Linked DNA regions of Drosophila melanogaster. The protein of the gene in region 2 binds, or shares a complex with, the protein of the main gene of each other region. Each region holds a gene or a part of one and is shown on either strand. Other genes may lie near its edges. A codon is read from its position in the direction of its gene.

The links.
Region 1: the proteins of egr (region 2) and grnd are in contact, whole or in part, in a crystal structure (PDB 6ZT0), measured with the Drosophila melanogaster proteins. Residues at the interface, in NP_724878.2 of Drosophila melanogaster: Ser341 (codon at 7,363), His342 (codon at 7,366), Asp343 (codon at 7,369), Gln344 (codon at 7,372), Leu360 (codon at 7,420), Thr365 (codon at 7,435), Asn366 (codon at 7,438), Lys370 (codon at 7,450), Ile393 (codon at 7,519), His394 (codon at 7,522), Asn395 (codon at 7,525), Arg397 (codon at 7,531); in NP_001260538.1 of Drosophila melanogaster: Tyr48 (codon at 2,373), Val49 (codon at 2,376), Ala50 (codon at 2,379), Thr51 (codon at 2,382), His55 (codon at 2,394), His66 (codon at 2,427), Asn67 (codon at 2,430), Tyr68 (codon at 2,433), Asp69 (codon at 2,436), Phe71 (codon at 2,442), Leu72 (codon at 2,445).

Annotation. Positions count from the first base shown.
Region 1 is NT_033779.5:18,483,737-18,488,537, forward strand, and holds grnd (grindelwald), read left to right. Parts: upstream 1-1,680; 5' UTR 1,681-2,231; coding exon 2,232-2,466; intron 2,467-2,889; coding exon 2,890-3,198; intron 3,199-3,280; coding exon 3,281-3,462; 3' UTR 3,463-4,285; downstream 4,286-4,801. Other genes in the region: CG10283 (uncharacterized protein), read right to left, coding at 158-233; kon (kon-tiki), read right to left, coding at 4,338-4,801. UniProt on the Drosophila melanogaster protein: Acts as a receptor for TNF-cytokine egr. Plays a role in activation of JNK signaling and is required for egr-induced apoptosis, including in wing imaginal discs during development. May also play an egr-independent role in cell proliferation.
Region 2 is NT_033778.4:10,076,349-10,084,369, forward strand, and holds egr (eiger), read left to right. Parts: upstream 1-2,017; 5' UTR 2,018-2,663; coding exon 2,664-2,834; intron 2,835-4,264; exon of another isoform or gene 4,265-4,346; intron 4,347-4,439; exon of another isoform or gene 4,440-4,576; intron 4,577-4,839; exon of another isoform or gene 4,840-4,977; intron 4,978-5,158; coding exon 5,159-5,284; intron 5,285-5,904; exon of another isoform or gene 5,905-5,974; intron 5,975-6,293; coding exon 6,294-6,619; intron 6,620-6,681; coding exon 6,682-6,786; intron 6,787-6,913; coding exon 6,914-6,978; intron 6,979-7,055; coding exon 7,056-7,145; intron 7,146-7,225; coding exon 7,226-7,590; 3' UTR 7,591-7,862; downstream 7,863-8,021.

The DNA.
Region 1 (4,801 bases), on a different chromosome or scaffold from region 2:
CTCATGCCCCCCCCGCCCCAATTCCAAAGCCCCTTCATCTCAATAGCTACACTCAAACCCAATCAATTTCCAATTATCCAAGGCCCCGTACGAAATTGTTCATGTTCAACCAATTTCGAAATGGTTTGCTTCGGTTCGGTTCTTAACCCATGCTTACCCTCATTAACATGTCCTGATCGGGGCAGCGCTTCCTTTGGTGGTGCGGCTGCTGTTGTGGTTGTGAAATTATTCATCTCTCTCCTCCTCTCGCCACCCTTCTCTTTCTAACAGGCTCTGGCTGTCTCTTTCGGTGGCTCAAATCTCTATAGAATATCTGTATCTCGTTCTAAAACAGGTGTTTAAATTGGGTAGCTCAAGGACGCGCCTTCCACTCCACTGATTTTTAATTTATGTTGGTTTACTTGTTGAAGCGGGCTGGCAAAATAGATACATAGATGCGGCGATACAGAGCGTGAGTAAACTATATTTTCATCTAATTGCGTCGCTCTCGGTGCAACTATTTCACTTTCACACTTCCACACGAGATATAATGCTTATAATTCCACAATTTCCACCATCAACACGCGCGCAACAACGACAGCTGCAATTCAAAATTCGATTTGATTTAGGTATTGTATCCCAAAGATACGCAACGAACCGGCGGCCGTCGTTCCACGAAAGCAGCAAAACAGCTCATTCAACAGCGAAAGCCGCTCAGCGAATGGATGTTGTTTGACTTGGCCATACAGTCCAGCTAACTGGAAGACACAATAATACTGCAAGCGGCGCTGGAACTGGAAGCCGATACAAATGTATCTCGAAAGCGGCACTGCAATGGAAGAGAGAATAAGAGAGAGGAGAGAGAATAACTCAAAACAGTGCTGCCAAGTTTCAAAAAGATTTCAAATCTAAATACAAAAAGTTATAATTTTACTATTGATTTATAAATTCATTAAACGGTATATATGTACATATGGTTTTTTATTATTATTTAATTTTCCAAAATGAGTTGGGAGCAACGAATTTCAGTATTTCTTTTATTTATGTATATGGCATTTGCTGTTTAGTAAAGACATACACCATTGCGTTAGCTAAGCGAGGTTTCAATCCTCAACAAATGCTACACTTAAAAAATTCCAAAATCATATTTAATTAGATAAAAATTGTGTAGCTAGAAACTTGTTTATAAATATCACGACTGCTAGTTAGTTGTGAAAGTAAGGTATTATAATTAAAATTTAAATAATAGGTAATGTTGTAAAAAAAACTTTAAACGTATAGTTCATATTGGGATACTGGGAATTTCAATAAAAGTTATCTTAAACATATTGTCGTTTATTCATATAAAACTTTATTATTATTTTAATTGATAACTTGGGTAATAAAGTGAGTGAGCAAGTAGTCTCTATAAAATACTTCTTGAGGCACTACCTTCTCGTTGTTATTTATTTTTATAAGTCAAATCGCAGCCGAAATTTAAGAAACTGAAGCCGGGTTCAAAGTATGCCGAAGTCGGGAGTATTTCACTCATAGCGCAAAATAAACAGTCGATCGCAGACACACAAATACTTGTATTACTTGCCACAGCATAGATATACAGATACTTTTGCATCTACAATCGACGTGAAAAAGGTAAACAAAAGTCAAGTCACGGTGCGAATGAGTGTGTATTTGAGATAGATGCCTCGGTGCGAGTGCTGAGTTGTTGGTAACAGCGAGCGATCGCGGCATTCCAGTCAGTAACGAGTTGAATGTGGCTCAAAACGCGTCGCTGAACGATGGCTAAAAACGTTTAAAGTTAAAAAGCGTATTAAATCATATAATATATAATATATTGGTGTAAAAAATACAGAATTAAACCTAATAATTAAGTGTCCGGACATCCCCTAGAAAAATGTGTGAAAATGTTGAGAAACTAACCGGAATACTATGAAAACTGCTGTAAAACTTGGCTAAGATAAACTCGTTTGCACCAATACACATGTGATTATACGTATAAGGGCAACGCAAAATACTCAGACTCCAGAAGCCAGCAATTAAAAAAGAAGTTAGTCAGTTAGCGTCTGGGCCGCGTTACTGGTGTATGAATCATACTTTGGATACGTTTAAAAATAACAAAACAAAAACCTTAAAACGAGGAAAAAGTTGTAACAGTGCTAATGTAAACTTCGATCAAACTTAGCGGAACGAGCTCGCTACAAAACCAAATACCCATAACAAGTAAATTAAGCACACATTATAAAATACCTCAAATGTCGGTCAGGAAGTTGAGTGCCCTATCGCTCTCCATTGGTGGAGTTCCGTTGATTCCAAGTGTTTCCTTGGTAGCTGCGGCCAATGGAGAGAGTAGGGATTGCCATGGCACGATCTGTCATCCGGTCAATGAATTTTGCTATGTTGCAACGGAGAGATGTCATCCGTGCATCGAGGTCTGCAATAATCAAACCCACAACTACGATGCGTTTCTGTGCGCCAAGGAATGTTCAGGCAAGTAGAATTCAAAGATTTCCAAAAGATTACCTCAGATTAACTCACGATCCATAGGGTAATTTGGCGGGTTCTATGCAAGTTCAGGTTTTTCCAGCTGGACTTAATTGTATTTCAATTACAGTTGCTTCAGCGGGTGATTAACTCATCACCCATGAGTTGACTAAAATAGGGGGTATTTTAAAGATTTAAAGAATGTACATTTTTATAATAAAAATGATTTGTTGAAACTAGCTTTATAATAATTTTTTTAGTGTAAAAGATTTGTAAAAGTTGTAATGGCAAGATAAGGCCAGTTGCATTTGCAATTTTTATCTGACTATGTACAACGAGTTATCAAAAACGTTCCCGTGTTTTATCAATTATTATTTACTTAAAACGATAATAGTAGCGATATTATTTAATTTCTTTATCAACCCACAGCTTACAAGACATTTGAGCCGTTAAAAGCCGAGATGCTGGACATCCAGAATACCCAGCAGCTGATCCTCTTGCTGCTGACTATCCTTCTCGTCCTGATTGCGCTTCGTTGCGCGTTTCAGTTCCTTCGATGGCTGATAGGCAATCGGTGCTTCCAGAAGCTGATGCGCCGTCTCCAATCGAAGGCCTACCCTCATCCGGCAACTGCAAATGGAAAGGATCTTAATGCTACCACCATACAGAATCTGAATGCCATTAACCATCCCGGCAGCGACCTTGAGCGGGCACAATCACAGATCTACAGTGTGGCAGGTAAGTGTAAGGATCTACCTGTCCGGGTTTTTCCAATAACACTTCCCAATGTACACATTATACCTGCAATGATTTATTACAGGTGCTGCCGAGGGTTCCGTTGTGACTATGACAACGCCGGTGAGCACTCGCTATCCGGCGGAAAACAGTACCACGCCCACAACGGTTATGACGGAGATCGGATACGGATACGATAATCAGGCCATGGTCGTAACGCCGGTTTCCGAGAAACCCTCAGCAGCGACGATTCCCGTCGCTTTCTAAGGCCATACAAGTACTTGAAAACTCTTACTTCTAAATCAGTCCAGCGAAAGCAAAATGTGCACCACATTAAAACTAGTGATATTTTTCATAGTTATTAAGCAAGAAGTCTTCTATCAATATGGAATATATACGCATATCTGTAGAATATAAACCTTAATTAATAGGTTTATATATGTTGGGACATATTTTTGATAACCCAATGTGGCCCTGAAAACTTATATTCGATCTGTATGAAATTATATGTAAAGGAACTTTTTTCTCTTTACTTTAATATTTTCCTTAAAGCAACGAAAATACTTACAACATCACAACTATGAACGAAGAGACATATTTATAACTGTTAAGAAATATATTTATAATGTTCAATTTATTATCATGTTAAGTTTTTTATGTGGAAAAGTTTTGTAAATGGTAATATGGGGGAAAACCAATTCATTCGCAATCACCACAAACGTTTCTCAACACACTTCCATCCGGTTAAAATAATTACGAATGCGAAATAAATCTTCCTGAAAATTTTTTGAGTTTTGAAATAAGACACGGGAACTACGCTTAAAAGTATTGTCATTTATTGTAAAAAGTATTCCACGTTGGCAAACACAATTCTAAGGCTAAGTTAAGTTGGCTTTTTGAGTATAACTCTTGTTCTCGTCCTTAATGCTAATCGTTTGTATATGACACGCCAGATATGTATGTGTGCTTGTTTCCAAACTATAATTAATGTTTTCGTATATAAAATGCTTCACTTTTCCTAACGAATCTCATAAATCAGCCTTAAACGTAAGCTTATATTTAAATAAATAACCTAGGACTAATTCCGATCGAATTGGAAACGCTTGTATTGATCCCTTTATTGCAGAACATCCTTCTAAACCTTACACCCAATACTGATTCCGCCTAAGTAGTGGATTTGTTGGCGGGGCCGAGGGCGGTGAGCTGACCGATCCGGAAATACTTTGTGGCACAGAGGCATAGCCAGCAAAATCATTCGCCATATCGCAGGACGAACTCCAGGCGTCGTGCTCCATGTGATAAGGATTATATCTCTGCGGCAGCATCATTTGCTGCGGATCGCACTGATCGTCCGTCTCCTCCTCATCGGGATCGTAGTCGGGATACTCATGTTTGTACGACTCCACGGGTATTATCTTGCAATGGGGAATATTGCTGAAACCCGGTAACGGTGTTGAATTTCCTGTGGCCGGCACGGAATCCGCCTCGGAACTTGCGTAATGGTGGCCATGATGATGGTGCAGATGGTGTTGCGGACTCACAGAAGTCAAGTCTGGTGGACACGGTAGCGCCGGCGGCTGATCCTTGGATATATCTGCCTTGTGCT
Region 2 (8,021 bases):
AGCGTCGTTGGCGCTATTGCGGCGCATGTCTAATAAATATCATCGCCGATCGCGCGATAAACGACTAGCACATAAGGAATCCACAGTACGGTATATATGGGTCCGAACTCCCCAGTCTGATCCGATCCAAACAATGCCCAAGAGAAGCGCTACTTACTCAATGGGGGGAGAATATGTGTAATGGCATGACTGGGTGTCTGTACTGTAGCTAAGTCAATTGCCCGGCATTGACTTTGAAAAATCGCCTCGAGATCGTCTTGCTTCTTGGCCGTGCTCCATTAAGTGAGGCTGATGGTTAACCCTCTGTGCAAGCACGTGATATATCTAGATCTTACAATATCATGTACATCGACATACCAGCTCAATGCTGATATATGTACATATATGTTTGCACAGATCATTGAATCAGATTCATTAACACTGCATAAAACCAAAAAGGTCTCAGAGCTTAGATTGAAACAATTCGTCCGATTTATTCCATAATTAATTAAGCTTTTCACAACTGAATTTATATAAAACAAATGATGTAATACAAAAAAGTAAGATACAAAACACAAAAAAGTAATAGAAGCTTTTCAAAAACTATTGTATATACAAATGTACATACATATGTATATGTATATAATTTTAAATCATTGATTTACCATTTCCGAACATTGAAAATTATAAATAAAAATGTGGTCTTGCACAATGCGAAAACAGATAACGACTAATGGGTTAAGAAGTGCACCGGAAGCGTGTGCCATCCGATCCCCGCTCTTACGGCCTGAGCAGTTCTACCTGTGGTTACCTGTTTGTCGCAGACGATTAGAAACTAATTAGCTGACCAACGCCGACATTTGCATCTCTGCCGAATGACGACACTCTTGGGCGGATTTACGATACGGGTCTGTTTGGCAGCCGGTTCGGCAGACTAGTTGTCGCGACGGTGGCTGATCGGATCGGATCAGCATTAGGTTTATGGCTACCCCGCTACCCGTAATTAGAACCCGTACTTAGGCACGGCGCTGACAGACCCCGATCGTCGGTCTAAGTAATAATAAATACGATTTTAATGAAATGCTAAAAGTTCATTTGGCTTATCTATGGGTTTGTCAACGATCCGCCACTTTTCGGAACTCAATTAGCTGCGGCTCGGGAATCGAAGATCGGGGATCTGTTCCATGTCAGTGTCATGAAGGGAGCTCGAACAAAGCAGCCACACAAAGAAAATGAAGCGAAAACCCGGGGATGCGAAGCCAAGCCGCTTACAGTGGTGCCGATTTCAAAAAGCAATCGAGCAACCCCTATAAATCACAGGGGGAGGTTTTAAGTGCACATAACACATAAAAAGAAATAAAAGCAGTGGAAAACACTGCGCAAAAAGTCAAACACGCTTTGCTACTTATGATCGCCATATGTGCAAGGGAAATCGGAACCAAGTACAGTCTGTCTTGGCTAAAAACAACGATGAGATGGTCTTCAATATGGCATCCAATATTCTAAATTAGATACACTATTTTCTTCTCTTTTGATAAATGTTATTAAAGTTCGTTATTTGAGCATTTCAATTTGATATTGAAATTATGATAACATTGTTAAATTGTTAACAACTTTAGACTATATGAACTATTATTTAGTGTTATATCATATTATAAATCATATTTTTGTAAATATTTCTTATGCACACCATGATTATGAGTTTCATACAAATAATTTGTTATAATAAATAAAAATCGTATCTACATATACATATGTACATGTAAAATTGTAGAAATATAATAATTAATTTAATTCCTGTTAGCCAGAGCCCACTGTATCACCAAAACACCACCCCGGGAGAACCTTGCCAAAAATTAATTACACAAAGTAAACAGCGCAGGCGCCCTTAAGTATGCCGCGCATCCTCGCCACGTGAGCGAGGGAGACGGTGCCAATCCGTTGTCCCTCTTGCTCGCCTGCCTGCTCGAACGTGAGAAATCAAGTGCCGCTCGGTTCGTTTTCCCTCAGTTCACGCTCCCGTTCTCAGTTCAAATTCATTCTCTTTCGAATCGTCGACGCGAACGGACGTTTAAAGTGAGAAAAGAAACCGGTAAATCAGAGATCCCAAGCAAGCGCGTGCGTGCATGATAGCGAAGAAAAAAAGCTATCCGTTTCAGTTAACTACTTACCAAGATTGAATTTCGCCATCGGGCAAATTACTAAAAATACATAAGTGCAACTCGTCCACTGTGTGTTGTGTTTTTTTTTTTTTTTTTGGTTTTCGCTGTGCCTTTATCGCAAACAAGAACTGATAAAACTAGAAAATATCTTGAGAAACTTGTTTTCGCGCTTTTCTTTTGCTAATTGCCGATCGCGGAAGAGAAAAACAAGCAGTAGACAAAACAAGTGTGGTAATACAATCTGAAAAGGGCACCATCAGCAGCCCGAGGGGTTTATCTATATAGATGTCGCAGCTTATCATCTCATGCTGTCTGTGAGGTTGTTCTGTGTGCTCGTGTAGTATCTTAAATACATAGAGTGTGTTCATATAAAGTGCGACAAAGCTCGATTGGAAACAGCTGTCGAGTGCCCTTGAGTGGGTGGGCAAGATCGTCATCATCATCATCGTCGTCATTATCAACAGAATCAGCATCAGCATCTGGAGGCCCCGGTTGCTCTAAGATCCCCAGTGTTCATCAATTATGACTGCCGAGACCCTCAAGCCGTTTATAACGCCAACGAGTGCCAACGATGATGGTTTTCCGGCCAAAGCGACCAGCACGGCGACCGCCCAGCGACGCACCCGCCAGCTGATCCCCCTGGTTTTGGGGTTCATCGGTCTGGGGCTGGTCGTTGCCATTCTCGCACTAACGGTAAGTTTTCCTTCACAATCATTTACCCAATAGCAGCCCAATCAGGTATTATTGCCCATTTGGATCGACTATCGCGATTCTAAACACACCAATTAGACTCTGAACTGAATGAAATCGTACTACAAAATTTTCATTAAGATGCTATTAATTGATAACATTGCGTCTCTATCTGCCTACTTAAGATAACAAACCATGCTTAAAGATGTTTAATTAAGGTGGCACAAATCATACTTAGTATTGAAATAATTACAAATAAATAAATAGTATAACATATTTTATGTGTGTTTGAGCGTCGTACAATCTCTTCAGTCGCATTTTATGTTTTTAATGTTTTTTAGCACACTAAAATCGTCAAATGTGCTGAATAGATTTAGTTAATGAATATAATTTGAAAAAGATTAAAGTAGTCACCTCCAAATTGAAATAGCTATTCCATACTTGAATGCCTTTTTTTTTGTTTGTTGTGTGCGATTAATGATTCGTCGGAATTCCAAAGGTGTGGGTATATCAGTTATTGGTGGGAGTTTCCCCAGAATATAGATAGGAATGAGTTGTTATGGGCTATGTTGTTTAATGATATTTTGGGCGCCAAAGTGGGCCAATCATGATTATATGGCCGTTTTAATGACTGTTTCGAAACGAGTGTAAAGGTATTACACTGATTCTTAAACTAGACTTTTGTAGAATTTGTGTTTTATTGTGTTTTTAGTGTTTTATTTTGGTAGTTTAATTTATAATTTTGCTTAGTTATCTCTCCAAAAACCATCACAACGACAGTTAGTTTTATCTGGAAAACAGATTGCACCAATAAAGTAATGAAAGCATAAAAACAGAGAGATTCCATTCAGCCATGAACCGCCTTCTAGACTCTGAACAGACTCCTATTTTTCGGAAATGTTTATTTCAGTAGCTTGCCAAAATAAAATGCGAATAAATATAAATGCAAATTGGACTTTAACAACGTATGTGTATAGACACCCCCGAAATCGCAATCTAAAAATGAATATTTAACCTTTGGCACGCTTCGGCTTATAAAGCTGTTTGTCACAAAGTCTTTGTTGATGCCAAATTAAAGACGAAATTCCGCGGATGCATAAATTGAAATGAAAACAGACTTTATGATCCGTGACCGTCGCAGATAGGTTAACTATAATTTGGCATGAAACTATATTTAGAGCGGGAAAAACGGCGGTTTCTTGGCTGATCAAGCGATGTCATCACCGACACGTCTTTAGGCCAAATCGGTTCCTAATGATCCAGCTAATCCAAATAAAGCGGATGCAGATGCTAGAGAAATGTTTATCGGTACATGTCTGTTCTTCCCTTTTGTTTTTGTTCAACCGATTTAAATGCCACTGAGTCCGTTCTGTTATGCATTCGATAAATCTTCGACTGGGTTGTTGTGTCATGTTTTTCCCTGATAACTTTGCGAATGAGTGTGCTCGCTGAAATCCGGATTTGAATTGCAGAAGATTAAGTTTGTGGACTTGAATCTGGTCCTTCTCTCCCACCCCCATTTCCCCCCCCCTCACCCAGGACTCCTCCATGACCCACTCAACTTTGGCTTAAGTGAACGGAAATCGTACAATTGACAATTGACTTGTAAATGATTGGCTTCAGCCACTGACGTGGGCCTCAAGTTCGGTTTTCCTCATAAATCTCCGTTAAGCCATGAAGCATTTTTCGTTGTTTAATTCAATTTCACTGACATTCGTACAAAGTAACCCTCATCATTTGGGGCCCTCTAAGAAAGTGACAAACTGCAGGCGCTGCGATCGATCTACTGATCGCCGATAAGCTCTAATGGAAAGTGGTTCACTGGAAACTTAAACAAGTTTCTTGGGTCTGCGTAAAGTCCATAATTTATACAAGAATTCAGTACAAGTTGTTGTGTGTACCTACATGTATGTACATGTGTATATTTCCCCGTCTGCGCGTACAGTGGCTTAAGTTGAGCCATTCTTTTCGATTTCGGCTGCCAGTCGAGACTTGAGAAGTGTCCGTATATAAGGCCTCTGCTCGGCCCGAATGTTAATGATCCATTAAGCAGATTATGTGGCTGAGTGGCGATCGTACGTACCCCGCCGTATTTCCCCACGAAATCTTTCTCGTCTCGCCTCTATCAGTTTGTTCAGTTAGTTTTTATATATTTTTCGGGTGTCAAAAGTTCGCGGCACTGGGTGTTATATGATGTGCCGGGCCTTAGCACCAGCTATAGATGTTTAATTGGGGCTACGTTAAATTGATTGCCCAATTGCTAATGAGCGGATGATTAGAAACGAGCCTGAATGAGTGTGTAACAATTGAATTATCTTATCTTGCAGATCTGGCAGACAACGCGTGTATCGCATCTGGACAAGGAGCTGAAGAGCCTGAAGCGAGTCGTCGATAATCTCCAGCAGCGTTTGGGCATAAACTATCTGGACGAGTTCGACGAGTTCCAAAAGGAGGTGAGCAATTGCGTAAATCACTTTCGAGCATCAATATTTGTACTCGGCGATGGGGCAGGGGCTGTAACATTTGCCCCGGGCAAATACAGATACCTCGAATTGTTTACAAAGTCGGAAATGATTGTTATTCCTTGAGGCTGGTACTTGAGTTTTTAATGAGGGTATATCGAACTTTTGTTATTGAGTATCTATTATGTTTAGTTTTCTTTTTGCCTAAAGGGTAATTTGCATTTTATGATGGCAAACTCTGGCTAGGGTATCTCACAGTCGGTAAGCCATGCGCCTGTTTTTGAAAAAGAATGCCTCAAAAAAATGACCAGACGTAATATGTGGTTATTGTGTGGGACATACAAAAATATTTATAGAATTATGTGCTAAAATATAATTTCGACGCTGTTTCATCTGTTATTTGTTTCATTTTTTTTTGTTAGCTGCTTGGCCAAAGGCACATAGAAAATTGTGATAGATTATTTGAATTATAATGTCTCTTTCCGCAAGGAAACACTCATTTCAAATATGAGGCGCCAGCCAGTTCACGTAATTTATGAGATACAAATCCCCAAGTGACAAAAGGTAAAAGCCCCAATAATTCAACAAAAATACTAGGCTCTATCAGTAGATATAGTCGTTCAAGGCGAGCGATCGCTTTTGGCTGTATGTGACGATTGATCGAATCTCATCAAATGGCCTAATGGCCAGAGATGGTTTTAAGATTTTAAGATTTATTTATATTTTGATGGCTGGGCATCTGTGGTGCCAATTCTCTTGAGAGTTTCCTTCGCTTTTAAATATATGTATGATGTACACAAGTATATGTATACGAGTATCATGTTTTTGAGCGAGGCGCCATCAATTAGGATGATGACGAAACAGCCTGTGCTGCGGGCGTGTGTCTAAAAATGAACGTCCCAAATGGATGTGAGATATGTGCCAGGACTGTGCCAGCTGCAGTCACGTACTTGGCCAAGTCTTCTGACCCAAAATGCTGATGCCCATCCCTTCGTTGCAGTACGAGAATGCCCTCATCGACTATCCAAAAAAGGTGGATGGCCTCACGGATGAGGAGGACGACGACGATGGCGATGGTCTGGATTCCATTGCGGACGACGAGGACGACGACGTTAGCTATAGCTCTGTGGATGATGTTGGCGCAGACTACGAGGACTACACCGATATGTTAAATAAACTCAACAATGCACATACCGGCACCACGCCCACATCTGAGACCACTGCTGAGGGCGAGGGCGAGACGGACAGTGCATCCTCAGCCTCAAATGATGACAATGTGTTCGATGACTTTACCAGCTACAATGCCCACAAAAAGAAGCAGGAGAGGTGAGCACGGATGAAATTTTCAGGGATTTATCGTATTAAGCCTCTGCTTTTCCTCTTCACAGAAAATCTCGCTCGATTGCCGATGTACGCAATGAGGAGCAGAATATTCAAGGAAATCACACAGAGCTTCAGGAAAAGTCATCCAATGAGGCAACTTCCAAAGAGAGGTAAGTAGAACGTTCCGTTGAAAACAGGCAAGAAAAACCATTAATGAAGTTATATGCTATGGGTTAAAGATAGATAGTTAACTGCGTAACTGAAACACATATGTATACATTTTCTTTTTACTTGAAGCCCTGCACCACTTCACCACCGTCGCAGAATGCATTCCCGCCATCGCCACCTCCTAGTCCGCAAAGGTGTGTAGTGTAGAAAAGCGAAACAATTGGCAAAAATCGAATACCAAATCTCTATTCGCACCTCTGTTAATTTGCAGGTGAATCTCTTCTTTCAGCCAGATCCGAGGACTCGAGGCCAGCAGCCCATTTCCACTTGAGCAGCAGGCGGCGTCACCAAGGAAGTATGGGTAAGGAGATGCTTCCGCGTCAAGCGTGTACATACAAGTACTACAGGCAACCTAATGAAGTCACTTCTTGAATTTCTCAGGCTACCATGGAGATATGTACATAGGAAATGATAACGAGAGAAACTCTTATCAGGGACACTTTCAAACGCGCGATGGCGTCTTGACGGTGACCAATACAGGCCTATATTACGTATACGCCCAGATATGCTACAACAACTCGCACGACCAGAACGGATTTATCGTCTTTCAAGGAGACACTCCATTCCTGCAGTGCTTGAACACGGTGCCCACCAACATGCCACATAAGGTGCACACCTGCCACACGAGTGGTCTGATCCACCTGGAACGAAACGAGAGGATCCATCTGAAGGACATTCACAACGATCGCAATGCAGTTCTGCGGGAGGGAAACAACCGAAGCTACTTTGGCATCTTCAAGGTGTAAATTGGAGAGATTATCCCCGGTCAGAAGATGGAATACCAGTTTAAGCTTTTGTCCCCGCGACTGCTCGTGAATGCGATTCATCGCCAGCGTGAATCCATTAGTTCGTAGTACCTAGTCTTAGTCACTCCAAACCTAATCTCAATCGGAATCGTGCATACTGCATTAGTCAGAAGACGGAGGAAAATCATATTTATTTTGTATATACTCGTTCGACTCTAAAAAGTGAATAAAAATATATGTAGCTATTACCCGCTTGTGTAAGCGTGTTTAAGAAACATCAATTGAATCAATTGCTACCAGTTGCAATTGAAAATATTATAATCTTCTAAATAATGAATATTCGTTCTTAGTATAATTCGATTCAAAATGCTTCAAATGCTTTCAATTCAAATCTCAAATGAAGAGCCATTCAAAGATATCCCTCAGCTTTA